Canis lupus familiaris: one gene and its partners. The protein of the gene in region 4 purifies or fractionates together with the protein of the main gene of each other region. This does not show direct contact. Links are inferred from orthologs where the notes say so. Each region holds a gene or a part of one and is shown on either strand. Other genes may lie near its edges.

What was found.
Region 1: the proteins of MED21 (region 4) and CDK19 purify together in Homo sapiens (affinity purification with mass spectrometry; 6 studies listed by BioGRID and IntAct, counting the BioPlex papers as one, with this or other methods). This does not show direct contact. The link is inferred for Canis lupus familiaris from reciprocal best matches to the Homo sapiens genes MED21 and CDK19.
Region 2: the proteins of MED21 (region 4) and RPAP2 purify together in Homo sapiens (affinity purification with mass spectrometry; 3 studies listed by BioGRID and IntAct, with this or other methods). This does not show direct contact. The link is inferred for Canis lupus familiaris from reciprocal best matches to the Homo sapiens genes MED21 and RPAP2.
Region 3: the proteins of MED21 (region 4) and POLR2M purify together in Homo sapiens (affinity purification with mass spectrometry; 3 studies listed by BioGRID and IntAct, with this or other methods). This does not show direct contact. The link is inferred for Canis lupus familiaris from reciprocal best matches to the Homo sapiens genes MED21 and POLR2M.
Region 5: the proteins of MED21 (region 4) and POLR2D purify together in Homo sapiens (affinity purification with mass spectrometry; 4 studies listed by BioGRID and IntAct, with this or other methods). This does not show direct contact. The link is inferred for Canis lupus familiaris from reciprocal best matches to the Homo sapiens genes MED21 and POLR2D.
Region 6: the proteins of MED21 (region 4) and MED9 purify together in Homo sapiens (co-immunoprecipitation; 8 studies listed by BioGRID and IntAct, counting the BioPlex papers as one, with this or other methods). This does not show direct contact. The link is inferred for Canis lupus familiaris from reciprocal best matches to the Homo sapiens genes MED21 and MED9.
Region 7: the proteins of MED21 (region 4) and MED12L purify together in Homo sapiens (affinity purification with mass spectrometry; 3 studies listed by BioGRID and IntAct, counting the BioPlex papers as one, with this or other methods). This does not show direct contact. The link is inferred for Canis lupus familiaris from reciprocal best matches to the Homo sapiens genes MED21 and MED12L.

The regions. Positions count from the first base shown.
Region 1 is NC_049233.1:67,739,014-67,743,466, forward strand, and holds the start of CDK19 (cyclin-dependent kinase 19), read right to left. Parts: upstream 2,868-4,453; 5' UTR 2,684-2,867; coding exon 2,556-2,683; intron 2,088-2,555; exon of another isoform or gene 1,919-2,087; intron 1-1,918.
Region 2 is NC_049227.1:57,113,194-57,116,948, forward strand, and holds part of RPAP2 (putative RNA polymerase II subunit B1 CTD phosphatase RPAP2), read right to left. Parts: intron 2,593-3,755; coding exon 1,656-2,592; intron 1-1,655.
Region 3 is NC_049251.1:23,190,284-23,194,038, forward strand, and holds part of POLR2M (protein GRINL1A), read left to right. Parts: intron 1-1,036; coding exon 1,037-1,180; 3' UTR 1,181-3,755.
Region 4 is NC_049248.1:25,934,816-25,939,135, forward strand, and holds the end of MED21 (mediator of RNA polymerase II transcription subunit 21), read left to right. Parts: intron 1-1,596; coding exon 1,597-1,711; intron 1,712-2,234; coding exon 2,235-2,335; intron 2,336-3,539; coding exon 3,540-3,716; 3' UTR 3,717-3,731; downstream 3,732-4,320. UniProt on the Homo sapiens protein: Component of the Mediator complex, a coactivator involved in the regulated transcription of nearly all RNA polymerase II-dependent genes.
Region 5 is NC_049240.1:24,109,324-24,113,854, forward strand, and holds the start of POLR2D (DNA-directed RNA polymerase II subunit RPB4), read left to right. Parts: upstream 1-1,561; 5' UTR 1,562-1,642; coding exon 1,643-1,715; intron 1,716-4,531. UniProt on the Homo sapiens protein: Core component of RNA polymerase II (Pol II), a DNA-dependent RNA polymerase which synthesizes mRNA precursors and many functional non-coding RNAs using the four ribonucleoside triphosphates as substrates.
Region 6 is NC_049226.1:42,191,939-42,196,371, forward strand, and holds the start of MED9 (mediator of RNA polymerase II transcription subunit 9), read right to left. Parts: upstream 2,946-4,433; 5' UTR 2,877-2,945; coding exon 2,650-2,876; intron 1-2,649.
Region 7 is NC_049244.1:46,482,354-46,486,108, forward strand, and holds part of MED12L (mediator of RNA polymerase II transcription subunit 12-like protein), read left to right. Parts: intron 1-42; coding exon 43-163; intron 164-525; coding exon 526-627; intron 628-1,362; coding exon 1,363-1,476; intron 1,477-3,755. UniProt on the Homo sapiens protein: May be a component of the Mediator complex, a coactivator involved in the regulated transcription of nearly all RNA polymerase II-dependent genes.

The DNA of each region.
Region 1 (4,453 bases), on a different chromosome or scaffold from region 4:
CCATCACTAAAAACTTTGTTCTTTCAAATCGCTTGTATCACGGAACATAAAACTAATCCTACCAACCCACAAGAGATGTGTTTACTGTAAAACCTCAAATCTCAACTAGACCTTTGACCCAAGAAAACCTACCTTTATAATGACTTTTCTTATAACCAATACAGTGATATCAACTAATGCTTTCAGATCCTAAAAGTTTCTTTAAAAAGCGTATTTTGAAGATACACAAACTGATCTTATTCTATTCGAGAAACTTTATTAATTCTGCTCAAACAAATTTCACTCAAGAAGAAAAGTGTAGTCGAATCAAGAACTTTATTAGAGGGGAAAAATATTAAAAAAAAAAAAAGAACAATGAGAAGCAGGAATTAAATTTAGCTGTTTTTTGGTTGTGGCCCATGCTATCAAAAAATACAATTCAAAAGCAGAATCCTCAATTTTTCTCACAAGTTACCTACTGAAAGGAAGCTATTTTTAACAACAAAAATGAAAATACATCTTAGAAATTCCAGATCAAGTGTATCACAACGTAAGCACGAGGAGTATGAAAAACACACAAGGTGGGATTTGTTTTGTAATGCCAGTGTCCAACCAGGAAAACTAGATGTGCTCTTCCCCAAGTATATCTGCTAAGATTCCTTACAGGGACACCAGGAGAACAAGCAGAGCTAATATTCCAGAAGCAAAATACAAGTTAATTATAGTGCCTCACAGTCCAAGATATTAATTCAAGGACGACACCTGGCAAGTAACTGCAAGAACCATGAGTTAAGCTACAACTGAACGCCATGGGGCTCGTCCAGTTCAGAAGGCAAAAGCTAAACGCGGCTCACAATCCTCTCTCCGCACGTGTGCAGCACCTCGTGAGGCCACGACGCTCTAGGGCGAAACGGCGTGTAGGGTCGGGCTCCGCGGGCTCCCCGGGCACCGGCGCGCGGCCCCGCCTGCTCCGCCCTGGCCCCCCCACACCAGCTGCAGCGATGGCAACAGGCAGGTGCGCAGGACGCGACGCAGCGCCGCCAGTCCCACTAACGTCGCCGCGGCCGATCCTCCCTTCACTCAGGGATGTCCCGTTACGAGCCTACAAACTCTCTCCCCCGAGTGGTTTCTGACAGCCTTGGGAACCTAGGCGGGAGGGCTCGAGAGACGTCCCCGGGCTCCCGGCTCCGGGGGAGGAGGATCCCCGCCAGGGTGGGCGGAGGGGAGGCCAAGGGTTCACCCCGACCCTCCTCGCCGCGGGGAGCTGGTGCCTCCGGCCCTGCAGCCCGCGCACGGCTACCCTACAGGACCAAGGACAGGCGCTGTCAATACTTTCTCCAGCTCGCCTTCTCCTAAGACGGCGATCCATGGACGCTTCTAAGAGGTGTTACCACGGGTCGCCCTCAACTCCCCGGGAGAACAAGAGATCCAGGCCCGCCTTCCGTCCTGGCCCATCCAGGTGCTCGGGAGCCCCCAGCGCGCAGTCATTCGGCCAGGGGGGCGCAGGGGAGGACCTCAGGATGCCCCAGATTGGGGTGTGGAGGACCTCAGGATGCCCCAGGTGCGGGTCTGGAGGACCTCAGGATGCCCCCAGGTCGGGGTGCGGAGGACCTCAAGATGCCCCAGGTCGGGGTGCGGAGGACCTCAGGATGCCCCAGGTCCGGGTGGGGAGGACCTCAGGATGCCCCAGGTCGGGGTGCGGAGGACCTCAAGATGCCCCAGGTCGGGGTGCGGAGGACCTCAGGATGCCCCAGGTCCGGGTGGGGAGGACCTCAGGATGCCCCAGGTCGGGGTGCGGAGGACCTCAGGATGCCCCAGGTCGGGGTGCGGAGGACCTCAGGATGCCCAAGGTCGCGGGGGGTGGGGGGTGGGGGGACGAGTTAGGGAACTAGGCGAAGTTCCGCCGGTAAAGCGCGGCGGGTCTCCCGGGAGGTCCCACCTCGGAGGGGAGGCGCGGAATTCACAAGGTGCAAAGGCGGAATCGGCGGGGGGAGGATGGATCCCGAAGTCGGCGGGTGTAGACAGGGGCTGCGCCCAGAGCCGGGAGGCTGCCCGGGCCCCCAGCGCTCGGCCGCGCCGCCGGCTCCCCGGCTGGGTTTCAAACCGCCGCCCCCGGGGAGGCGCTCAGCCGATTGGAAGTTCCGCCACGACCGTCACCGGCCCAGGGCCGGAGCGGCAACTCCTCGACGAAGCTCTCCCGGCGCCCCGCGTGCCCCCCGCCCGCCCCCGAGAGCAGACCCCGCCAACTCCACCTCCGCGGAGGTGCCCCCTCGAGTCCCCGCCGCCAGCCCGGGGCGCGCGGGGGGCGCCCTCGGGGACGGGACCGCCGCCCCCCGACCGGGCTGCGCCGCGGGAGTCCGCGGGGCGCGACGGGGCCGCGCGGGGCGGAGGGTGCAGGGTGGAGGGTGGGGGGGCAGCGCCCGCGCCCCCCAGTCCGCGCCGGGACGCGCGGCCCCGCGCCCCCCGCCGCCTCGCCCCCCGGGAGCGGCCCGCCCCGGCTCCGACCCAGCCGCCCCGCGCGGTCGCGGGCAGGGCGAGGACCCGGGCGAGCCCGCTCCCCCCGCCCCTGCTCTTACCCATCTTTCCGCCTCGCCTTGTAGACGTGCCCGTAGGTGCCGCGTCCCACTTTGCACCCTTCGTACTCAAACAAATCCTCCACCCGCTCCCGCTCCGCCGCCAGCTTCGCCTTGAAATCATAATCCATTGTCTGCTTTCCCCATAGAGGCACCGGGACGCGGGGGCCGCCGCCGCTCAGTCCCTCCTCCTCCTCCTCCCCCCGCGCCCGCCGCTCCACTTCTCCAACAGCCGCCTCTCGGGCGCGCGCGCGCCGCCCGCCGCCCCGCGGTCCGCCTTCAGCAAGGGACTCCTCGGCGGCCGCGGCAGCCACCTCCTCCTCCACCACCACCTCCTCCTCCTCCTCCTCGGCGGCGGCGGCGGCGGCGGCTCCCGCAGGCAGCCCCAGTCCCGCCTCCCCCCTTCATTTCCTTGTTTTGGAACCTGGTGGGCCGCGCCGCGGCTTCCTCGAGCTCATTAACGAACCATCCCGCCCACCCCGAGGTCGCGGGGGCTCCTGGGAAATGTAGTTCCGGAGGGCCCCAACAGCAACCGAGTTTCGCCAGCAGAAGAAATACAACACCCAGGCTGCTTTGGGCCGCCACAGCCCCGCCCCGCGAGGCGGGCACGCCTGCGCACTGCGGCCGCCCCTCCCCCTCAGGTAGCGCCGGACTGCCAGTTCCTGTGAAGGTGGGAAGCTTCAAGTTGCCGAATTCTTTCTGCGAGTCTGTGGGGGAGCGGGTGGAAAAAAGGCCCTTGTTGTGGTGTAGAGGAAGGTACTCCACTATCACTGCCCCCGGGCGAGAGGGAGAGTGGAAAGTACGTAACAAGTGCTCGGCTCAGGAGTTTGCGCCGGCGGTTAGAGAGGCGAGGACTGTGGTTAGAGCAGTTGTGCTGCAAGACGGTTTGTTTTTCGTGGCGATTGGTCCGCTCGTTGCCCCGCCCCCCTCCGCCGCTCATTGGCTGAGACTAGAGAATGACGTCCTCGTCGGTGCGTGGGTATCCCCGGGCTTTGGCTCCTTTCCCGCTCTTGATTGGTAATTGGGTGTGCTCGGTTGTTCTGATAGGTCCATCTTTTTTCTTTACGATGCAAAAACCGTATTTCAAAAGCTGAACCCTCAGCGGTTTCCTAGGGCTGGCGTCGGTCTGCGGAGAACTTCTGAGGCCCGGCAGCCAATCATCCTTTTCCTGGCGCTCGAGTCATGGTCTCCTCCCACCATATGCGGTTCCCACAGCCAAGCTTTGGGCCATCTGTCTAAGGACAATTCAAGTGCCAGGAGGATGCATCGTCTTAAAAGCAGGCATCAGGTTTGCATTGTAAAAGATGTTTGTTTTTTTTTTTTTTTTAAGGTCTGTGCATAATGGTGACGTTCTCCAAGGATGTCTGAGAAAGTGTCCTTAATCAAGGTGAATATGGATTCATTTAATTCCTGCGTCCTTAGGATGCTTGGGATACGATTTTATGCGTGATTGGTGCTAGGATAAGAATAATATACCACATTTAGTGGGAGCACAAAGGAAGAATTGGTCCCCTTTATCTAAAGTGGTAAGGAAAGTTAGTAGTGACACCTCCCCCCCCCCCCCCCGCCCACCTGCTAGGTTTGGGAAGAAACCTGGAAAACTTGGGAGTGGGGGATGGAGATCATTGATTTACTACAAGAGTAAATTTCTTAAGGAACTTTCTCAGATCTTGAAGTCAATCAAACGTATCTGAAAATCTTAGTTTCTCTTATGTCCAGGAACCAGGGTGAGTGCTGGAGATACCAGATGAAAACTGGTCTTTTTCCATCAGGGGAGCTAAAACCTATTGGAGAAATAAACACGCAAGCAAATTAAAAATAAATGGTGTGGGTACAAAGAGCAATGATAGACTAGGAAGACTTCTGGGGGGTCAGGCCAGGCTTCACAGGGAGGTCAGTTT
Region 2 (3,755 bases), on a different chromosome or scaffold from region 4:
GCCTAAATACTCATTAATATGAATAAATTATGGCAAATTTCTATGAAATACTATGCAACCAATGAAAGAATGAACTTCAGCCACATGAACAACCCAAATGACTCATGAACATAAAGTTACGTGAAATAAACAGGAAGCCAAAGAATATCTATTACGTAAATTTACTATAGTTCAAAATTGGCAAAACTAATCCATGTTGTTATAATGGTTATTCATTTTGGAAAGAGGTAATAATTAGGAATGACATAGTGGGGCTTTCGTTGTACTCAGATTTCTTGGTCTGGGTAATGATTACAAGGCTGTGTTCCTTTTGATAATTCAGTGAGTTGTACACTTACTATCTGCATTATACTTCAATGAAAACATTTAAAAATGTTATGCAAAAGAGGAATAGTCAATTTTCTTTCTCCTTCCTTCCTTCCTTCTTTCTTTCTTTTTCTTTCTTTCTTTCTCTTTCTTTCTTTCAAGATTTATTTATCTATTCATTCAGAGAGAGTGAAGAGAGAGGCAGAGACACAGGCAGAGGGAGAAGCAGGCTCCATGCAGGAAGCCCAATGCAGGACTCAATCCCGGGTCTCCAGGATCACACCCCGGGCCGCAGGCGGTGCTAAACCACTGCGCCACCGGGGCTGCCCTCAATTTTCTTTCTAGTATAATTTTTCCTGTTTAAAGCTTACAGCACAAAAATGATAAAACAAATGATATATTAATGTAGTTTTATGCAGCTGAGTGACTAGAGAGCAAGGTTTCTCCAAGCTTACTATACAACTTATGAATACCATCTAATAACACAATTGAAGTGATTTTTATAATCCCATTTACAGACTCAGACTCAAGAGACCAACTTTTCATACAGCTAGTAAATGAGAACAGATATTACAATCTAGGTCTGATGTGCTCCTTCGTGTCCATTATTTCCCAATATGTCTCCTTTACTATATTTTCATTTGTATTATTCTGAATGGGCATGCTTGCCAAATATCCAGATAAATACTTTATCATTCAACTAGTAAGTCTACTCCACTACATATAGTCTCACTGGAAAATACAAAGATACATACCCTTGCAGAAATTTGAAAGAATACAAAGAATATTTGTTGGTAGGGAAGAAAAAAAAACAACCCTTTCAGAGAGTCTGCATATTATATAAAGAACTAGGTTTTAAAGAAAACTTTGTCCCACAATTCTAGGCTATTTCTACATTAGAGAAAAATACTACATATTTGTGGAATTTTCTGGGGGCAGATTTCAACTTATTTGGAAAATACTATTTTCCAATATTGGAGATGGCTTGCTATTTTATTTTATTTTATTTTATTTTATTTTATTTTATTTTATTTATTTATTTATTCATGACAGACATATACAGAGAGAGAGGCAGAGACACAGGTAGAGAGAGAAGCAGGCTCCATGCAGGGAACCTGACGTGGGACTCGATCCCAGATCTCCAGGATCACATTCTGGGCTGAAGGCGGCATTAAACTGCTGGGCCACCAGGGCTGCCCGGGGATGGCATTTTAAACCAAAAAACTGAACTAAACCAATCTTCTGAAAATTTAACAATTATCTCTTCAATATTATTCCCCTTTCAAGATTTGCTGTGGTGAGTGTCCCATATGCTAGCAGCACAGAAAACTTATTATCTTTAGACATACCTCTTCTGAGTCTTGTGATTTGATGGTTTCTTCACTCAAAACATATCGTCCTCTATAAAACTCCCTTATCCTCAGATTTAATGTTTCAGTTTCTTTTTTCAAGTTCTCATAACTTGGCAGTGGTTTAATGGCTGTATCTGAGGCCCTAAAAGGTAAAGACTCATCCAAGCTGTTCTGAGATTCCTGAAAGGCAGGGAAATGCCTATCTAGGTCAGAGTGTATGTCATCTTCATCAAGTTCTTCTTCTTTAACCAGAGGGGCTGAAGAAAGTTTCAGACACAAAGCAGCATAATTCTGGCCATACAAAAACCTCAAAGTTTCTTCTGTCTTCCACTCAATCAAAGTCTCCTTCAGGACTTTAAGTAAGTTTGCCTTTGCAACTTCAGGACACATCTGCACTGAACTAGAGGCTGGCCTAGAATCTTGCTTTGATTTGGCAAATTTTCTCTTAAAATGCTCAGCACTTTTCTTACTTATGCCTACTAGAGTTATTTTTGAACTACTGTATTTATTTTCAGAATTTTCTGTAGCTTCTAATTTTTCTTGCAAAGGACTATTTGAAGAAATCTGAGGACTTACTTTCTGTAAAGGAAGTTCACAAGCAGCAGCCTTCCCATGACTATCTAATCTGCACTTGCCTAGCTGCTCAGTGACATCTATTACCGTCTCTTCTTTGTCTTCATGTTTGGAGTTAGCTTTCTGACCAGCTTTCTTTTTCATTATGCTTTTTTTGTGCAGCTGTGGACTTATACCCGTTGCAGTTGGTCTGTTTCCTGGTAGAATGGAGGAAACAAAGTCTTGTTCATTATCACTGCTATTATCACTATGAGAGCTGGAAGAACCAGATTCATAATGCTTCTCAAAATGGCCAGGATTGTCAATATCTGATGTTTTAATGGCCTTAGTGCATAGCTGTACTTCCTTTCCAGAATGGCCACTGTAGAAAAAAAGAAACAAAATAACTATAATGGAAAAGCAAATGTCCCATGGCATTTATATATTGTAACTCTCAAGGTAAAAATTTGTACTCCCTAGGCAAAGCCTTACAGGCATGTATACACACACACACACACACACACACACACATATCCACACATTTCCAAAGACTGCTATAAATCTATGATTTCTCTACATCTTATTTGATCTAATTGTACCATCTTCGTCTTTTTCCCCATTACTTAAAAAGTGTGGGACGCGTGGGTGGCTCAGTGGTTGAGCATCTGCCTTTGGCCCAGAGCGTGATCCTGGAGTTCTGGGATCGAGTCCCACATCGGGCTCCCTGCATGGAGCCTGCTTCTCCCTCTGCCTGTCTCTGTCTCTCTCTCTTTCTGTGGCTCTCACGAATAAATAAATAAAATTTTTAATAATAAAAGAAAAGTGTTAAGAGTATAGCAAAAAGGAAAAAAAGGCTTGGTAATTTCATTCTAGTAATTTGATTTCTGCCTGTTGTATTTGTGACTATTTTATGTATTCTTTTTTGTTTAAACAAAAAAAAGGTTTTCTTTTGAACACTTCACTCTTGCTTTGTCAAAAAAAAAAAAACATATTATAGAAACTCTGCTTAGGTTTCAGAAGATAACATGATAAAAATTGGAAAAAGAATTTTCCAATACAGACTATTCCATAGATTAGAATAAAAAACCCAAAAGTCCCAGCAGAAAATAGAGTTGACAATTTAACATTTATTTATGAAAGATATATTTGAAAACCCAGAGTTAGAACAGAATGCTAACAATAAAAAAACAGTATCCCTTTGACTATGTTCCTTCAATTTTCAATTAGGCTTAAAATAGATTAAGAATTGTGAAAGAGTCAAGGAAAAAAAGTAGCTCTGTCTATACAAACTTGAGATATTCAATGATAGGTGAGCAGCTACTTTCAAGCAAATGCACATATCAAAACTTTAAAAGATTAGGACAACGATTCTGGGTCAAATTGGGGCAGAGGATGGTGAGAGGGTATACTGAAACTTTCTACTTTTCAGGGAATTTTTCTGTAAACCTAAAATTGTTCCCTAAAAGGGCTATTTATTTTTTAAATGACTAAATAATAAAATGAAATAAAATAATGCATGCTAGGTAGAAGTATAAAAAAAGAAAA
Region 3 (3,755 bases), on a different chromosome or scaffold from region 4:
GATCTTAATCAGGCACTAGGCACTATTCAAGACAAAATGAGGCTGTTTTTCAGCCTTGACTTTTTACAAAAATTCATTTGGCATGGATTGGCATTTTCAAGGCATTCCTTTTTAGCCATTTTTCTTCCTCACGTATTAGAGTATTATTGCCTACTTACAACTACACCCTTGGGGAATTGTTTTCTAAATTGTTTATATGATCTTAAGTGCCTGTCCAATTTAGCTTGAATTTGGTTCCTTTGAAACTGGTTTCCTTGGCAGAGTGGTAATAGCTCCCATTTCAGTTCTGCCTACCCAGAATATTCATGGCCTGAGAGGAAGGACGGGGAGAGGGTCAAGTTGTAGGGGCAGAAGCAGGAGAAAAGTGAAGAGCCAGATTAAAAATTGCGCTGCCCCTGCCATCAGTCAGAGGTTGTGCCCTTGGGTGTCTTATGAGCACGTTGCCTGCATCTGAAATTTATGTGGCTTTGTGTTGCATAGTAACTTTCATGGGAACTTAATTTGGAGAGGGGATAGTTAGCTTTTTAGAAGTACTGGTTTCTTGATTTTTTTTTTTCATTGTGCAACTGAAATGTAAATCTCAAGCCTAAAAGCCATGATTTCATCTAGGAAAGAAGATTCTTTGTTGGAGAATCAGGACAGCATTAGTGATTTTTGGCATTTGATAGTTCAAACTGCTGTGTGAGTGTGTATGTACACATGCATGTATCCACATACTTAAAAATCTTTTCATATTTGCAACTGTTGCAGCATTTAGCCTGTTACTCAGTTTGCCGTGGAGAAGTGGGGTAATCAGTGCACCACTGTCTGTCTGAGTGGAAATCTGACCATAGCGGTGGTGGGCTAGTAGCTCTCACCAGCATTGCCCCCCTGTATCTGCAGTAGGCACAACCTCAAACTTGCACACTGCTAGAGAGCACTGAGGGGAGTGGTATGCCCCTTTATTTCCAGTGTTCTTTAAGTGACTCCCTGTTGGAAAAATGGTAGGGAAAAAGATGTGAATGTGTGACTTTTTGCTTTGATTTTTGTTTTAAAGGAGATGCAAGCCAAACTCGCGGCACAAAAATTAGCTGAAAGACTGAATATTAAGATGCAGAGCTATAATCCAGAAGGGGAGACTTCGAGGAAGTATCGAGAAGTAAGGGATGAAGATGATCGGTCCTCTGATGATGAATTCTGAAGATGAGCAGTGGAATCATCACCTTAATGTCTGCCTGTTGAGATATCATGATCTTACATCAGACTTTTTACCAAGTATCAAGATCAGAGTCACATTGTTGAGGGGAGGAGTTTTACAAAGTTACACAAAGGTAGCTATAAAAATAGCCCAGTGTGTCTTTCAGAAGATGACTTTCATGTGCTTAGAAAGTTTAAAATTTGAATATTATGTTTAATCATATTGTATTAAAGTTTTGCAGTATGTTGTGTGTTGGTCTGATATTTTAGTACATAGTAAGCACAGTATTTTTTTCCTCTAAGCCAAATGAGGCAGGTAACTGCTCTTCCTTATTCTTATCTCAGTGGAATAGCATTTATTACATGTCTTTCAGTGAAATATTTGGTTGCCCCAGGCATCAGCTAAAATGAATTAGGAAGATAAAGTTCCCTCCTCTTTTGAGTAATGAAGGGAGCAGTCTAGAGAATTTTGTGCATGTTTGCATGGGGTTATTGAGGTATTGGACACATGTGAAGTACCTAGGAAGACACTCCTAGGAAATTCTTAAATATTTGTCTCCTTCCGTCTTCCCTTAGGAAGGATGCTATCTTTCTTCTGATTAGGAATAAGGAGTACTTTTAGTGATGCTGGAGCTTGGATGATCTTTAGATGATCAGATTTGCCTGGAGTAACACGAGTTGGAGGGAAAGTCTAGGGTGACTGTTGTAGGTGAAGGGAGTAGCTATTCTTAGGCTTGACCTGACTTGAGGTGATTACTCTCAGAGCTGACAGGTTCATTTTGGTAAGGAAACCATTTTTTTTTTTAAAGCTACAATTGGATTGTCAATATATTGCCCCCCTCCCCCATCCAAAGAGGCATATTTAGGCTACAGAAATCTCAATCTCTTATGTATTTGTGTTTATGTAATTTTAAAGGATTATGTAGTTGTTATAAGACTTCTTTGTTTAATATGTTGGAGACTTCAAACAGTGTTGAAAGGAAGAATAAAATATTAGAGCAACTTACAATGTTAATGGTGGTATTTTACTGGTGCTTAATTAAATTTATCTTGCTTTAAAAGAGACTTTCATATATGAAATTTTCCTGCAAACACATTTAGGAGTGAGAAGAAGAGCTCAGTTCTCTAGCATGAACTTCCAGGAGCAGCTACAGCTTTCTATGCCCCTGCCACCCCAGCTCCCCCACCCCCCCAATGTAAAGATATACTGAGCTAACAAATTAATTATTTGTACTTTTAAAAACTAATAGTAAATGTATTTCACAACATAAAATTATTCCTTAGAGGATAAAAGGATACATTCTGAAAAGCCAAGTAATATGGAAGGGCTCAAATGCATGTACACATGGTCCCTTGTAGTCGGATCACCCAGAGAACACTTCTATTAAGGTTTGGGTATATGTACTTCACGTATTTTTTGTTTCTATTTTCAATAATGCAATCATACTATATATATTGTTTCATAGCCTGCTCTATGTGTCCTAAACATTTTCCCATAATAGATAATTTGCATTTTAGATAGCTACAGAATATTCAATTTAATGGGTCTGCCAGAACTTTTAAAATCAACTTATTGTTTAATAATGTTAGTTACAGTGTAAACTGTAAACAATGTGATTAACATCTTAAAGTCACGTTTGTCCAAAAAATTATTTCTGGAAGATAGCCTTCTAGAAGTGAAATCGCTAGTTGGAAGTATATAAGTTTTTGAGATTCTCGATAGACCTCACCCACCACAAAGATGGAGTCCCTTTAAATTCCTCCTAGCAATACTGAACTCCCAGAACTGAAAATTGATATTCAAAGTGTTTGCAAATCAGTTACAAGAAAGGATTATTTTTTAAATTTATATTTCTTTGATTGCTTAATGAAGGATGGTTTTTCATGTTTATTGACCACTTAATGGTCATTCTTTTGAGCGTTGCTTATTCATATTTTAACTATTTTCTTGGAAAGTGCTGTTTTTATTGGTCTATAAATTCTTGATGAATTAAGATGTCCGGCTTTTGTCATATGTTCTTATTTTAGTGTGTTACTTTCTTTTTAATACAGTTTGTGGTGTTTCGGTGTAGAAGTTTTCTTTAGAAGACTACTTTTGTTATGCCTGAGCATGCCTTCCCTACTCCCAAGATGGATATGTATTCATCCTTATTTTCTTCTACTACTTTTTAAAAAATTCCATTTTATACTTCCATTTAATTCAAAAGGAAATTTTTAATCCATCTCAAATTTATTTGAAGATGTTGTAAGATTTAATTTTTGCAGATAGTTGACCAATTGGTTCAATATTTTTTTTGGGGGGGTTCAGTATTTTAAGCCATTTCCTCACTGATTTGTAATGCTATCATTGTAGAATATTAAATTCCCATGTGTCTTGTGGTATGGGCCTATTTCTGTGCCTTGCAGTTTTTCCTGCACTATTTTAATAATTACAGATTTAATCAGCATTAATATTTGGTATACAATTTCTCCAAATTCTGTCAACTATAACCTCCAGAAAAGTACACAAAACAGGTGTGCAGTTTAATGGGTAAAACAAACAGCTATGTAATCACAAGCCAGATGCAGAAAAGCTACTG
Region 4 (4,320 bases):
CCCTACACAGGGCCTGATCTCATAACCCTGACATCACTACCTGAGCTGAAACCAGGAGTTGGACAATTAACCAACTATACCACCCAGATGCCCCTGAGCTCAGAATTTTTAAGCAGGGTAAAATAAGTAGTGAACTAGAAAACTAGAAGGAGACTATTGTAACAATTCTGTTGTGAGATAATTGAACTCCTGCTGTTCCAATGATAGAATGAAAAGAAAATAGAACTATTTGAAGATGAAAGGAGATTAAGAGTCTGAAGTTAGACTGGTTTATAACTAGGAGATTCTCAATAAGATTAGATATTAAAGGAAACAGTTGACTTTGAGTTCAGTCATTTAAAAAATGGCAGAGAAACTTAGTGGAAATAGTTACAGATTGGAAATAAGTGAGATTCAAAAGGTCAGGACTATTGAGGGAAGCTAGTGGGGAGGATAGGAGTTTTAACTTTGCCAACTGTAAGGAACTGGTATTCTCTTGTCTTCAAAACTGTTTAAGGAATACTGTTAGAGCACTGGGAGTTTACAGCTTGAGTCACAGAGGAAAACATTTCCAAGTACTTAAGGTAGAGGGTTTTTTTTTTTTTTTTAATTGACAGAACATTAGTTTCAGGTGTACAACATAATGGTTCACTATTTGCATATATTGTGAAGTCACAATAAATCTAGTTAACATGTCACTGTACTGTAGTTATAAAGTTCATTTTTTTTCTTTTGATGAGAACTTCTAAGATAACTCTCTTAGCAATTTTAAAATATACAAACAGTATTAACCATAGTCACCATATTGTATGTTATATCCCCATGACTTAAGGGGATAGGAAGGTTGTACTTTTTTGACTCCCTTCACCCTTTTTGCCCACCATAAGCCCCACCTCACCTCTGATAACCAGGAGTCTTTGTATGTGAGCTCAGTTTTTGTTTAGATTACACATATAAGTGAAATCATGTAATATTTGTCTTTCCCTGACTTATTTCATTTAGCATAATGCCCGCAAGGTCTATTCTTGTTGCAATGGCAAGATTTCCCCCGTTTTTCTTTAATGGCTGAATGATGTGCCTGTGTGTGTGTACCACAGTTTCTTTTTTCATTCATGCATCATGGCCTTATAATTTCTTCAGGTGGAGTCTTTTCCCCACTATTTTTTTATAGTTGTAACTACTTTAGTCTCAAAAAAGGGATCAAATACTTTGTATATAAATTACATATTTTAAAATTTATCCTAAGGCCATACTTACATATTTGCCAGTAGATTTGCTTTCTTCCACCGCTACCCCCCAAAAATCCCTACTTCTGCTTGTAACAAGTGTTGGCATTTATTTCTCTTATCATTCTGTTACCTTGGGAAGAAAACAAAGATTATCTTGTATTTCCTGTTAACTGTTTCAACTATGTTGATACCAAACCTAGTTTCCTTGCGTGATTAAACATTTAATCATTGTTAATAATAACTAGCTAATTTTATCCCAGATTCTTCCTGTTTTATTCCCTTGCTTAGATATTGTTATTATAGAAACTTATTTTTGTTGCTGTTACTGGTAAAATCCTTAAAACTGATCAGTCCTTTCTAACTCTGACACATTTTCTTTGGCTTCAAGCTTGCAGATCAGTTTTGTAATGCCATTGGAGTGTTGCAGCAGTGTGGTCCTCCTGCTTCTTTCAGTAATATTCAGACAGCAATTAACAAAGATCAGCCAGCTAATCCTACAGAAGGTAAATAGATTTTCTTGGCTTCTCTTCATTTGACCTTTATAATCTTTATAATCTTTTAATATTAAATTTATTGAGAAATACAGCTTACTTATGATTTGAGAATATTACTGTAAGTTTTGTTATAAAAGATGATTTCATTAGATATTCTACATTTCGTAATTCTGTTCATGACAAAAAGCAGATTGTTATTCCTTTACAGCTGACTTTACATGAATTTAGCAGAATTTCACTTGAGGGGCCTTAATAAGGAAGGCATTCCATTTACATATTCTTTTATTCAAATGACTGACATACTGTCCTAAAAAAATGAAATAATTATGTTTAGTTCCCAATTTGAGTTAATAGTAAGGCTACTTCTCAAACATGTGATAGGGTTGGTGTGTTAGAATTACATTTTAATCATTCAAAGCATAGTACAGAAAAAGTTTATGACCTTCTCTGGTTTCATTAGGTTCAAATTTAATTTCTACTTCTGAAAACTTGACATTTCCTAATACTCTAAATGAGTAATATCTTTCTTTAGAATATGCCCAGCTTTTTGCAGCACTAATTGCACGAACAGCAAAGGACATTGATGTTTTGATAGATTCATTACCCAGTGAAGAATCTACAGCTGCTTTACAGGTAAAAATCTCTTTTCCTTTGAGAAATTTGCTAGTAGAGTATTTTGATTAAAGGAGGTGTTTTTTTTTTTTTTTTTTTTAAGATTTTATTTATTTATTCATGAGAGTGTGTAACACTGAGAGAAAGAGAGGCAGAGACACAGGCAGAGAAGAAGCAGGCTCCTTGGAGGGAGTCCGACGTGGGACTTGATCCCCAGTCTCCAGGGTCATGCCCTGGGCTGAAGGTGGCACTAAACCACTGATCCACCCAGGCTGCCCAGGAGATTTTTTTTTTTTAAGTTATCTCTACACTGAACCCATGAGGGCTTGAACTCATGACCCCAAGATCCAAGAATCACAACACTCCTCTGACTGAGCCAGTCATTGCCCCAAAGATTTAATACCTTTTGTTACAATATTCAAAGTTTCCTTAAGATTAAGTTTCATTTATTTATTTTTGAAAGATTTTATTTTTAAGTAATCTCTACATCCAACATGGGGACCGAAGTCACAACCCTGAGATCAAGAGTCACGTGCTCCACTGACTGAGCCAGCCAGGCACCCCAAGATTAAGTTTTAAAATGGAAGTTTTCTTAATTGTAAACTACTGTAGTCTATTAAAGATCATGCTGAATATATATGGTTGTCCAATTTCGAGCTATAAGGAAACTTCTTAGTCTTCTCAGTTTGGCTCTTTTCCTAGCAAAGAATGAGAGGAGAGTGGCATTCTGGGTGTGTAGAATAGTAGTGTCCAAAAGCAGTGTCACATCTAGAGTGTCACATCTAGACAGAGATCTCTAATTGAAAATTCATTCTTTTAAGTAATTCATACAGGGAAAGCTCCTTAAAAGTTACCTGATTTTAGAGTTTCTTTCTTTTTTTTTTTTTTTAAAGATTTATTTATTTATTTATTCATGAGAGACAGAGAGAGAGAGAGGCAGAGACATAGGCAGAGGGAGAAGCAGGCTCCATGTAGGAAGCCCGATGTGGGACTCGATCCCTGGACTCCAGGATCACGCCCTGATCCAAAGACATATGCTCAACTGCTGAGCCACCCAGGCGTCCCCTGATTTTAGAATTTCTGACACTGAAAAATCTATCATAATGGTTGCAGAATCATCCAGATTTAAAAATAAATACTTCTGCAGTTTTTTTTCTTCTCAACTCTTAACTAATCTCCAAGTTTTTCATTTCTCAAAAGATTTTTAAATTTGTGTCTTACAAAGGCTGCTAGCTTGTATAAGCTGGAAGAAGAAAACCACGAAGCTGCTACATGTCTGGAGGATGTTGTTTACCGAGGGGACATGCTTCTGGAAAAGATACAAAGTGCACTTGCTGATATTGCACAGTCACAACTGAAGACAAGGAGTGGTACCCATAGCCAGTCTCTTCCAGACTCATAGTACCGGTATCTACCATGTGGGTGAGAAAAGAACTATTTCAGTGCCATTAAGAGTTCTGCATCAAATTTAGATGTAAGCCTTACCAACAGTTACAGAAACATTAAGCACTATGACACATGTTACCTTTTTAGCTATTTTTTAATAGTCTTCTATTTTCACTCTTGATAAATAAGCCTCTAAAATTGCGATTGAACCAGTTTTAAACCATCATATCATTTTTTTATTATTGGAATGAAATTATTGAGGCAGATATTGCATTAATGGTTATATTATTATTAAACAGATGTACTTTAAAATTCTGTTGTGACATTTCTATTTTTATTTTTATCAAATTTCTACAGTCTTTTTTGCAAATCAAATATCCCTCAAGCCAAAGGAGAAATGGTAAATGTAGAGATATGAGACATTTCAATATAGGTTGATATCCTTCTGCCTCTTCAGAGGTGACATTATATAAATTTGGAGTTTGAGCAAGGAAGGTTTCTGAAACCATATTGCTTTTAAGAAACTTAGGGTTAGTGTAGTTCGGTGAGAGATTAGATCACTTTTATGGAAACATTCCTCTTTTTCCAGAACCTCATACCCATTTTGTTTCATCTCCCAT
Region 5 (4,531 bases), on a different chromosome or scaffold from region 4:
ATTAAATGTTAAAGAGTAGTCCCAGTGCCAGCCCCTACTCCTCTGATCTCTTGTGACTCACCTACCCGCAACCAGAAGTGACTTTCTTCTCTAGGGATCCTTCTATAGCATTTTCCTTGACTTTCTTTTGTCTTACTACTTACCACTTTCTTTCATTATGGAAAGAAGTCCAGATCTTGCATCAACTACTGTCTGGTGATCTCCTTGTAGGGACAGATTTATGACTGAGTCATCTTTTCAACCCCAGGGCTTTCAACATAAATGTTTATAATGGTTTTCTGAATGAAAATGTTGTAGACAAACCACCTCGTGAAACATTTTCTCCTTTCTTCTTCACCTGTTGACTTCTCTCCTGATGTGTGTGTGCAGGAGACCAAGTGTTGGGTGTTTCTTGAGCCACCACATGGTAGGCATTAGGTGCTCTGTAAGGGCCTGCTGGATGGACAGATGGAAGAGAGGTCTACACTGAGTTCCAGGCCCATTTCTGACGCCAAGTGGCTTCATGTCTCCAGACATGTCAGGACTTCTGTCCTGTGCCTCTAATGAACTGTGTAGGAAACCACTTGGAAACAGTCATAAGCTCTGGCTATGCTATATAATCTATTATTCTACCCAACATATTTCTACTGGAAATATACAAATTAATTTTATAAAAGTTATTATATTTATAAATCAAAGGAATACAAGCACATATTCTTCTCTGGCAACATCTTAATTCATTTTTAAAAAAGATTATTTTTTCGTAAGAGACACACACAGAGGCAGAGACACAGGCAGAGGGAGAAGCAGGTTCCCTGCGGGGAGCCCGACGCGGGACTCGATCCCGGGACCCCGGGGTCACGCCCTGAGCCAAAGGCAAGCGCTCGACCGCCGGCCACCCAGGTGCTCCGGATTGGCTTACTTTTCTACGTATCATCCAAATGTTTCAACAGATGAATTAAAGGACTGTCAGCATCACTCTCCAGCTGCTTGGAAGCATCGGAATAATCCACTACAAATAATTCTTTTAAGTTTATTTATTTTTAGTAATCTCTACACCCAAGGTGGCCCCGAGATCAAGAGTCGTACGCTCTTCCCACTGAGCCAGCCAGGCGGTCCCAAATTAATTTTTAAGATTTTATTTTTACGTGACCCTTACACTGCATGTGGAACGCGAACTAGCAACCCTGAGATCAAGAGTCACAACCACCCACTAGCCAGCCACCCTAATCAGTGGTTTAAGTGACTTAAAGCGCTGCAAGAAAGTCCCCTGTACGTTTTCAGGGCCACTAACCCTCCGTCCACAACGGGAGCTCCCGGGGTCTGAACCCCACCCACAACCTTACGACCCCTCAAGACGCAGAGGCCGAGGCTCGCCGAGGACAAGTAACCGGGCACAGCACGAGCCACGCAGGTAGCCTCGCGGGACTAGGAAGGGGCGTCCGCGCCTCCCACACCGGCCTCCTCTCCTGCCCTCCCGCCGGCCACGCCCACCCGCCCCACCGGCCACGCCCACCCGCCCCGCCGGCCACGCCCACCCGCCCCGCCGGCCACGCCCACCCGACCTCGTCGGCCACGCCCCTTCCGGGGCCGAGCCCCGCGCCCCTGCGCTTCCGGCGTGCGCGTTCGGCGGCCCGCGCGTGGACCCCGGCGCGGTGTGCCCATGGCGGCTGGAGGTAGCGATCCGCGGGCGGGCGACGTCGAGGAGGATGCCTCACAGCTCATCTTTCCCAAAGGTGGGGCTGGGGCTGCGCGGCTGCTCCCGGCTGTCCCGCGTGTTCGCCGCAGGCCTGGCGTCCCCACGGACGGGCAGGGGCAGAGAGGATGGGGATGTGGCGGGAGGGGGCCCCCGCGGGCCACGGTGCCTCGACAGGGGCCAGCGGGATTCCAGCCTCTATCCTGGAGCCGTTGGCTCCTTTTTACTCGTTTAAGTCGTTTATTGTATGTGATGAACCACCAAGTGCTGCAGAAATAGACGAGGATGAACAAAGCCCACTCTGGTTAAGGTGAGAAGGACAGACTTTAGTAAGGGGGCTGGGGCGTCTGGCCGGCTCAACCCGTACAGCATGCCAGGCTTTTTTTTTTTTTTTTTTCCTATTTTCTTTCGAGAGGGCGCGCATACAGGGTGGAGAGGCAGGGCCAGGGGACGGGGAGCTGGCGCCGGGACTGGATTTCTGGTCATGACTTGCGCCAAAGGCGGACGCTCAACCACTGAGCCACCCAGGCAGCCCTAGCTTGCTGGTCTTAAGCTCCGGGTCACGAGCTTGCGCGAGGAGCCTGCTTTAAAAAAATAAAAATGAAATTCGGGCACGATTGTAATAGGGAAAAGAGGCTAGCGTGGACTGAACTCAGTTTCTGTTTGTACGGAGGTGATTGGGCGTTTTAAAGGAGAACGAAGGAACGAAGGGGTTGCCGCGTCTCCGTAGATCAAGGAAGTGAAAAATTAAAAAACGCGGAAAGGGGGATTGGTGCATTTGAAACCCATTTGAGGGTTTATGTCATTTATGTTAACTGGCGCTTATGGAATTTAGGCTTCCGCTCTCCCACAGCTCTTCTCTGAACTCAGAGACGGGCCCTGTCTCTAGGTGTTGGCTGGGACAAGCCGTAAATTATTAACGACAGCTGTCAGTTTTCAGCTCGGTAGGCGCTTTATTTTTTTTATTGCATTTTTTTAATTTGAATTCAATCTCCCAACATATTGGTAGGCGCTTTAAAGAGTCAACCTAGGCAATTAGAAATTGTGTCAGTATTTTGTTCATGTCCTTCTGGGCCACATATGAGGCCCAAAAGCAGGGCTCAGAGGAGCCTGGCTAGAGTTTGGTCAGAAGGCTACAAGTACAGCACATTTTTGTTGTCAGTGAACTTTCTTTGTGCAGTGAGATGTACTTTATTTGTAATTTAGAAACCGAAAATAAGCAGGAAGCTTAAGATTTTAAAATACCATATTTTACAGGTACTGAAGAATGCAAGTAAATACGGGAAACCTTAACAATACCCACCTGTTTTAAAATTATTGCATACATAGGAAAAAGTGAAACTCCACACCCTTTCACCCAGAGGGAATACTGTACACAATTAGTACTTACCGTTCCAAGCTAATTTTATGTTTATGAATAAATATTTATGTACAATTTTTTCTTTGTAAAAATGAGATTATGCAAGAGGAATGCTATAGCCTTTTAAAATTTTGATGATATATTATGTAGAACTGTCCTGTTTTTTTTTGTTTTGTTTTGTTTTGTTTTGTTTTTAAAGCAGCTCTAGGCCCAATGTGGGGCTTGAGCTCACAACCCTGAGATCGGGTGTCCCATGCTCTATGGACTGAGCCAGCCAGGTGCCCCATCATGTTCTTTTAAAGGGTGAGAAATACTTAATGGTTTACCATAATACTTTTTTTTTTATCTGTTGATAGACATATAGGTTGCTTCCAATTTTTTATTTCATTGACTCAAGGTCAAATATTTCCGTAGGATAGCCTCATGAAAGTTTCTGGCATAATAAAAGTATATGTTTATTTTTTTAATGTGTGATAACTCACTGGGAGATGGTCTCTTAATATATGATAAATTAAGCCAGTTTTTTGTGCTTGGGTTTTGTCTGGGTACTTTTTATTTATTTTTTTTGCACAAAATATTTATTTTGATAAAAGGTAACATCTGGTACATGAAAATTTTGTTGAATTAGGTATAATTAGACCTTAGATTCTGTCAGTTAACAGTGTGTCAGAGTTTGGAATATCTGTTTAACTTCTCAGCTCATATGGGGATACACAGTGATTTTTATTTATTTTTATTTTTTTATTTTTATTTTTTAAAGATTTTATTTATTCATGAGAGATACAGAGAGAAGAGAGGCAGAGACACAGGCAGAGGGAGAAGCAGGCTCCATGCAGGGAGTCCGATGTGGAACTCGATCCCGGGGCTCCAGGATCATGTCCTGAGCCAAAGGCAGACGCTTAACCGCTGAGCCACCCAGGCATCCCCTACACAATGATTTTTATGTAGTTTAGACTATCTGAAGATGGGGGACTTCTGAGTTGCTCAGTGAGTTAAGCGTCTGTCTGCCTTTGGTTCAGGTCATGATCCTGGGGTCTTGGGATCTAGACACTTGTCCAGTTCTCTGCTCAATGGGGAGTCTACTGCTTCCTCTCCTCTGCCCCTCCCCCCCGCTTGTCTCTCTTTCAAATAAATAAATAAAATCTTTTAAATAAAAGGGGGGACGCCTGGGTGGCTCAGTGGTTGAGCATCTGCCTTTGACTAAGGGTGTGATCCTGGAGTCCCAGGATTGAGTCCCACATCGAGCTTCCTGCAGGGAGCCTGCTTCTCCCTCGGCCTGTGTCTCTGCCTCTCTGTGTGTCTCTCATGAATAAATAAATAAAATCTTTAAAAAAATAAAATAAAATAAATAAATAAATAAATAAATAAATAAAAGGGAATATGGGAGCGCTTGGTTTGCTCCGTTGGTAGAGCATGCTACTCTTAATCTCGAGGTCAGGGGTGGAACCACCCCTATGTTGGAGGTATACTTTGCTTTAAAAAATATATGTGAAGAT
Region 6 (4,433 bases), on a different chromosome or scaffold from region 4:
GGATCAGATGTGGAGGGGGAAGCTGAATGCCCACAGAAAACATAATTATATTCTTTTAGTAAAAAGCATAGTATAAAGAAATAATGGAGAATATTGAAAAAAAAAGAATAAAACACTAAAAAGCTTAATGGAAACTCTTTTTTTTTTTTTTTAAAGATTTTATTATTCATTTGAGAGAAAATGAGAGTGAGGGCACGGCCAGAGGGAGAGGGAGAGAAAATCCCAAGCAGACTCCGTGCTGAGTTGTGGAGCCCAATCTCACAAGCCTGAGATCATGACCTGAGCTGAAACCAAGAGTCAGACACTTAACCAACTGAGCCATCCAGGTGCCCTGACTTAGTGGAAACTCTTAGTGATACTTCTTCACTTTCTTAAAATGAACTAAGTTCTTCCTTGGAGAGCTCCCAGTCTTTCTTTTGGGCTGATGAGATACCCCAGAGAAGGTATCTCTGTCTCTTTGGCTGCCAGTCTAAAAGCCAACCCAAGACTAGGTTTGGGTCTCAGTATTAAGTTTGTGAAGTTTCTCTTAATCCCTCTTTTCAGTATGGCTCCCTTTCTCCAACTCCTGCCATGTGCCTGGTGTTCCCCAGTCCAGAGACACTCTGGCTTATTTTTAAAAATAAATTTTGGGGGGAGAGTAATCCTTGGTCTGCCAAGATGGAAGATGGGCAGTCCCCATCTGCTTAGAGTGGGGAAGAAGGCTATGGGATCTGATTCTTACACAGACTTTAAGTAATCCTCCTGTTCTAGTCTCACTTTCACCTCTATTTCCAGGAGTCCCTGACACTGCCAATTCCTGAGCTTTGGGGAGAAGCCATGGTCAAAGGCAGCTGTGTCTGGATGGTTCTGAGGGCTCATAGATGGATTAGCCTTTAGCCATCTGCTTTGTGACAACAGCTGTTCTTTTTGGTTTTATGCTTAAAAAAAAAACAAAACACTCCTCACTGTCCTTTCAGAGAGTATAGAGATAAACACATGTGATCAACCTGCCATCTTTCACAGAAGGCTGCTCTTGAGTATACCTTACAGCAATCTTAAAATTTAAGTACTGTTATTCCATTTCGCCAAAGAGACTCAGAGAAGCTAAGTCATTTGACCAAGATGACCTAGGCCCTACACAATAAAGCTGTAATTTAAATGTTTCAGGTCCACTGTTATTATTCACGTATGAGAGATAAGAAAATAAGGCCTAGAAAGGTTATGTTTTAATAAGATTACAAGGCCCACTTATAATCCAGCATTGCCCTGAGATTTGGGGGTCTCCATGTGTGATTTTTTTTTTTTTTTTTTTTTTTTTTTTTGCCATCGCACTGCTCCCTAGAAGTGCCACTTGATGATCACAGGCTAATGAGAACAGAACAGAGTCTGTTTTACCCTATAAACGGTATGTTCACACCAAGTGAAGCCAAATGAAGGCAGGGTCTAATGTGAGAACAAAGGCTTTCCAGCTGTTTAAAAAGGGGTGGAAGCATGAGGTCATCCCACAGCAAGTGAATCTAGTCCGGCTAAGCTCAAAAGCTAGGCCAGTAACAAACAAGACTTTCATGTTGTAGGTAGCAAGTCCATTTCAGCAAGACACCCAAGAGCGCATTAATGCTCACTTGAATGTCACAGTAACAGTGACTTTGCTTTCATTTACTTTGTTTTGGTTTTTAATGGCTGAATAAGTTATGAGCCTGGTTTACCCTTGTATCATGTGGATATAAATAAGGTATCAGCAGAAATAATTTAGGAAAGCATGGGGATCACGGAGCCTTTTGGCTGCACTACTTTTTTTCTTTTACAGAGTCAGTTTGAAAATTCAGGCTATAATCTAAAGACTGGCCAAAAGAAAGACAAGTCGGCCAGCCTGGGGAGCTCAGCTGGCTGAGTGTGGGACTCTTGATTTCCGCTCAGGTCATGATCTCAGGGTGGAGGGATCCAGCCCTGCCTGCTCAGCAGGGAGTGGGCATGAGATTCTCTCTCCCTCTGCTCCACCAACGCTTGTGCTCAAGCTCTCTAAAATGAATAAATCAATCTTGGGAAAAAAAAAAATGAAAATCACCCTTTTTGGCACGATGTAAGAACAGTCCTACAGGGCCAACTTCTATCTTTGTTTCTTCTAAGTTCACTATCATCAACCCTCCAAACTCTCTGAAATAGGGGTCATTTCCATCCCTGTCTTTTTTTCCTTCAAACTGATAAGCAATGTTGGGGGAGGGGGGAGGAGAAGTTGGCCCTCTTTACTGTGTACATTCCACGGACTTAGCAGTGTGCCACACAAGGAAGATGATCCATATCTGCTGGATGTGTTGAAAAGACAACACCCAAGTGTTACTCCTCTATTACAGGTGCGAAAACCGAGGCTCAGAGACGCTTGACTTGCTCCAGGTCACTAAGATGCAAACTTGAGTCGTCTGACTGCAGAGCCTTCATTTTTAAGACTATCGCCTGGCCATCGTGAGGTCTGGCAACTCTCTCAGGGTTCAAACGTTTGCCGAACTGACGCTGTGACCAGGTGTGGTCGTGGGAAAGGCCTCCTGCCCCTGGCTCTGTTTCCCCAGCGGTAAAATGGGGCTGTGCCCGAGAGCACCTAGGCCTTTGCCGCTCGGAAACACGAGACGAGAAGCGGGAGGGCGTGTCGTGGCTGGTCCTCTCTTGGGCTCTTACCATTTGATGATGTTGTGAACCAAAGGTAAAAAGGAGTAATTCTCCTCCTCCTTCACGCCGGCCGGTGACTGGGGCCTGGTTGCCGGCGACTGCTGCGGCTGAGGCACGGCGACCGGAGGCGGCGGCTGCGAAGGCGGCAGCGGCTTCGTCTCGGGCAGCGACGGCTCGGCCGGCGGCGGTAACGCATCCTCGGCCTGTCGCCCGGCGGCCACCCCGGCGGAGGCCATAGCGCTCGGAACCGCGCCGCTCGGGCAGCAGGACCCCAACGGTCAGCTTCTCAAAAGCGTCGCGGACCTCAGACGTCACCGCTCTGCGCCCGCGGTGGGCGGGCCCTGGAAAAAGGTTGTGCGCGTGCGTACTAGGGTGTGGGCGGGGCAATATCCTGGGGGCGTGGCTGATGTTACTAGGCAACGGGCGATTGACGGATTTGGTTGTAAGTAGAGGCAGCTAGATTATTAAATAGTCAGAAACAGATCCATTTGAGACATAACATTCTTATTCACACGACAAAAAGGGTCCAAAAGCAACTAGTACAGGAAAGCTGAGATGCATGACTCCGCAGGGCCCCGCCCTCGGAGAAGGCCTCCCGACCACCTTGAACCACATGCAGAGTAAACAACTTCCTGCTTTGTGTAAAGCATTGGGCCCTACGGGCATTGAGAATCCAGAGATGGAGGGCCTACACCTCCTACACCTCGCAGATGCCTCCAGGAGGACAGGCAGCAAACCCTGACCCAGCTGAAGTGTGAGACTGTGTTAGCCCAAAGGGGCAGAGACAAAGTAAAGTGAGTCTCTAAAAGCTCCCCAAGCCTAGATAGGGAGGAACTCATAATTCAACATTGCATTTTCTGGATGGCAGATGCAGTATTAAATGTGAAGTAGTGGGTAGGAAGGCTGTCCTGACTTCAAAACAAGGCAGAAGGGGATTGACTAGTGCCAAGAATAAATGCATCCTACAGGAAAGTCCACCTCGGGTATTCTCCATACGGGCAGGCCAGTTCCTTGAGCTCCTAGGTCTGTTTCCTTAACTGTAAAATGCTTACTCCAGGGTCATAGCAAAGCCTAAATTGTTTTCTAACTTCAGGTACATGGCTGACCTCCAAAGGTCTGGTTTGTCCCCAGGATCCTAGGTCAAAAACATGGTGGTGATGTAATTATATTTCTCAAAACAAGTGTGATATGGGGGCTGTATAATAGATTTCTGGGCAATGGGACACCCATCCTAAGCTCAGCTAGTCAGTGGGAGAGGACATGAGCTAGGAAAGCCCCAACCTTTCAAAGTCTACCATCAAGGGTCTTAAAGAGAGGCAAGGAGGCCCATATTCAGGTGGCAAGATGAGCTGGAGCACTTAAGAGCAAGGGGGCTGATTCCAGGGAAAGCATTGACGCTACTATTTTCAGATGCATCAGGAAAGGTTGATGGAGGCAGACCCTAGGGAAGGCAGACTGTAGAAGGAAATAGGAGTTGGAGAGTGTGCTCCAACTCTTTGGAGCACTAAAGGCTCTTTAGTGATGGGCCTTAGCACAGCTTTCTTCAGCAAGAACTGCCTAGAGTACCCCCAGGGGGGAAAGCAGGGAGAAGGAGAGTCTGCAGGGCTTTCTTATTGCTACCCATGGACTTATCCACTTTAGGGAAGAGTTTTAGGAGTCCTGGTAGAGAACTTTCCTAGAGGAGAAAGGCCTGTTGGGATCAGACCAGGTGTGCTTGAAGAGGCTATCCCCTTTGAGCTACCTGGGGAAATGTTGATGGTGCAATAATTAATAGTAATTACCACAACCGCCAT
Region 7 (3,755 bases), on a different chromosome or scaffold from region 4:
AAGGGTGTTAGGTATTAAAACGTGTCAATGTTTTTCTTGAAGGTGAGTGACCTTTCATTCCATGATTCATTAGCTACTTTCATTGCTATTCTGATAGCACGACAGTGTTTCTCCCTGGAGGACGTCGTGCAGCACGTCGCGCTTCCTTCTCTCCTAGCAGCAGGTACGGCACATCCAGAATGGCCCTTGTGATTTGATGGTTGTCTGGGGGTGGTTTCTAGCTAGTACAACAATAAACATACTGTTTCAGGGTCCATGCATCAGCCAGTGGTGTGACGTTGAGGTAAAGGTCTGAGAATGGTCAGTGTAGTTCTATACAAAGTCAAATGGATCCCTATGGAAAAGGTGGTTTTTACGGAAGCACTCTGGTTTCTCGAAAAAGCAGAAAAAGCATAGTGTAGTTCCTTAACTTCTTAAAGTAAGGAGCATTTACATTTAAATTAGTCCAGATAAGTTAGCTTAATGGGAAACCTGAAGACCTATCCTTGAATAAATTAGAAAACTTGCTCTTAAAATCTTTCCTAGCTTGTGGAGATGCAGATGCTGAGCCTGGGGCGAGAATGACATGCCGACTCCTGCTTCATCTCTTCCGAGCTCCCCAGGCCTGCTTATTACCTCAAGCAACCGGTGAGCTGACAGCTGAAAAACCTCTGATTACGTTTTCATTTGGAGGTAGAGATTCTAAAATGACCAAGTAGGCTGTCCATTTTGTCATTTCCTTCCTGATTTGGGTTGAGCTTGCTTTTGCAGGTGAGGAAGGAATGCAGTAATGCCCCTGAGAGGGCCGTCAGCACCTTTGATTTATGCAATATCAGGATGTATTGAGAAACTCAAATCAGGAGTTAATAAACAATAAAAATACTTTTGCTCTTAGGCCGAGCCATGCTGGTGGGCAGCTTGATCCTCTCATCTACTATGTATGTTGGTTATGAACCACATCATAGCAGCTTAGGGCAGGGATGATTCATTTATTCTTTTACTAAGGTAAAAGGAAGACGGTAAGAGGTCTAGGAGTGTTAGTGGAGTGTGTTTCCAAAGGTCATTTCCATACAGGGGTATGTGTGTGTGTGTGTGTGTGTGTGTGTGTGTGAGAACCAACGTACGTAGATGAAAGTCCTTATTGTTTTGATCCGTCTCTCTAGGGAGCAAAGACATTGTTTTAATAATTAAAAAAGAGAATTTTAAGAAAGGAATACTGACAGCGTTTCTTAGTGAATCCTTGAAGCATCGATTAAAGCTAGCTGATGGCAGTTAAGGACACACAGTCTAAGAGTGAAAGACTCTGCTGATTGTAAATGGTTAGGAAAGATTGTTAGGGACGGTCATGAGACCATTCAAAGTTTGCTGTTGTTCTCCTCCTAGGCAAACCTTTCCCTGGAATAAGATCATCTTGTGATAGACACCTCTTAGCCGCTGCTCACAACAGCATTGAAGTGGGAGCCGTGTTTGCTGTTTTAAAAGCGATTATGATGCTTGGTAAGACTATCCTGGCACTAAACGTGGTTAATCACCAGAAACAGAGGAAAAATAATTTATATTCAGGATCAACTCTAATTCATATTATTAGCAACATGGTTTGGTTTGATTTGGTTTGGTTCTCCTGGCAAAATTAGTTGGCTTTCTCCAAGTACAAGATCAGCTGGACTTGAATTGTCTGCTCCTTACCTACAGTTCTCAGGGAATTTAAATATAATAGTTTTTATTTTTGGATGACATTTTAACTACAGGATATTTTGTTTGATATAATAGAGATCTCAGACCCACAGGTTGGTTTTATCTTTATTTGTTGGCATAAGTCACATTTTATGAAGGACACAAATGCCACGGTGATCTAACCAAAGGTTGAACTGTTTTATTATATATCAGGAGTAGAACACCAGAAAACCTGGATTTTAATCTTAATGTCTCTGCTCCTATTGTGACCCTGAACAACTATATAAACTTCTACTTTAGCTTTTTCATAAATCAGGTAATAATTGCAATAATGTCAGTATTATTGGCAAATCAACGTTAGATGTCAGGATTTTAAAAAGTTTAATCCATAATTTCCGAGATGTCCATCATACTCTTGATGGCATATCCGTTCCTGGGGTAGCAGTACTGCATTTTCTGTTCATTTATAGTATAATACTTTAAGACATTTTTATTCTATAAATTGTTCAGGATTTGAATGAGTAGTAAGTCTTAAGTCCACACTGCCTAATTCCAACTGTGGCAACCCTCTTTTGGCCTTGACTTAACAAAAGTCTTATGTTCTGAAGGAGCTCTCTTTGATTAGAACAGAAAGTAGATAGGCATCATTTTAGAGGAGTCCTAAAGAGCATTATAATTTGTACTCCTGTTTGAATGTTATTTGGTGATGATGAAGCATAACAGGATTTCCATTTAAAAATTATTTTTAAAAGTTCACGTTAAAAAGAAAAGTTCACCTTAAGAGAATATATATATATATACATATACATATTTACGTATGGTTTGTAATTTTTTCAGTAGTTTAAAGGTTGGAGAAAACATAATTATATATGCATTATATATATCTCAGATGCCCTTGGAAATGCCTAAAATATTCTTGCAGTAATAGAGAAAGGGCCACGTGGAGGGCCGTGCCTCATTTCTGAGTTTAGGAGCTTACAGTATTAAACAAACAACATTAAATGCTCTTTTCAGTAAGTAAAATTTCTCTCCTCTGATCATGTTTGAAAAGAAAATGGCTGGTCAGTCTACTTAAATAAATGTAGGGACCATGAAGTTAGGGACTTGCTTTTTATTTTATTTTATTTTTTCAAACTGTGGTATCTCTAATGCCCATCAGAGAAACTAGACAGGTTTTGAAATAGTAGCTTTTCAACAAGCTAATGTTTGGAGTGCGACTGCAGAGGGGATAGACACTGAATGGCAGAAAGCACGATGAGGGCCGTCGAGGCCCTTGCCCCTTCATTTGGAGGACTGGTCCAGTTTTAACTAAAATTTGCCAACCTCTTTAAGGAGTCACAGAATTGTATTTTAATATCCATGTGTAATAACCTTTCATCTTTGATTGGCTTTCCTTGACTTTTTTTTTTTTTTTTTTTTTTTTTAATTCATCTCAGTTCTTGTTAGATTGAGAATGTTAGGTCTGAGAAGTCACGATCAGGTCATTGGATGTCAGTAGAGCCTTGGACTAGGTAGTCACAGAACACTTCTCTATTCTGTTACTTGCACAGTTATAGAAGTTTCTGGCACAGTCTCCTATACCTTCTCTGTCATCCTAACATCTATACTAAATGAGAATCTGAATGAGGATTTCCTAGGCAGAGGGGTTTGTTTCTCTGATTTTGTTTTTACAGAAGTTTTAATTTCTCTACTTCACCCTGTCCTTACCAGTGTTCTCTCAACTCATGTCCACCAGGATCTATTTTGAATTTGGGAGATAAAACTGTTATATAGGAGTCGGTTTTTAATTTATGCAGTAGTTTAACATAAGGTGTAGATATAGTTGAATGAGTAGTACTATGTATCCCCAAAATTGGGGAAAGCGTGCTAAATTTTGGGACGTATCTTTCAGCTCCCAGCGAGCTCTGTTGAATTAAATAAACTCGTGGGTGAAAAATTGGTACTTTTTCTATTGTACATTTTAATGAGGAACGTTTGATAATATATAATAAGATATTGATACTTGAAAAGTATTTTCCCCCCCTCCTCTTACGATTTTATAAATAAGTATTCACTAAGCCATTATGATTTTTTAAATTTTTCAGCAGAGTCAAAACTTTTTC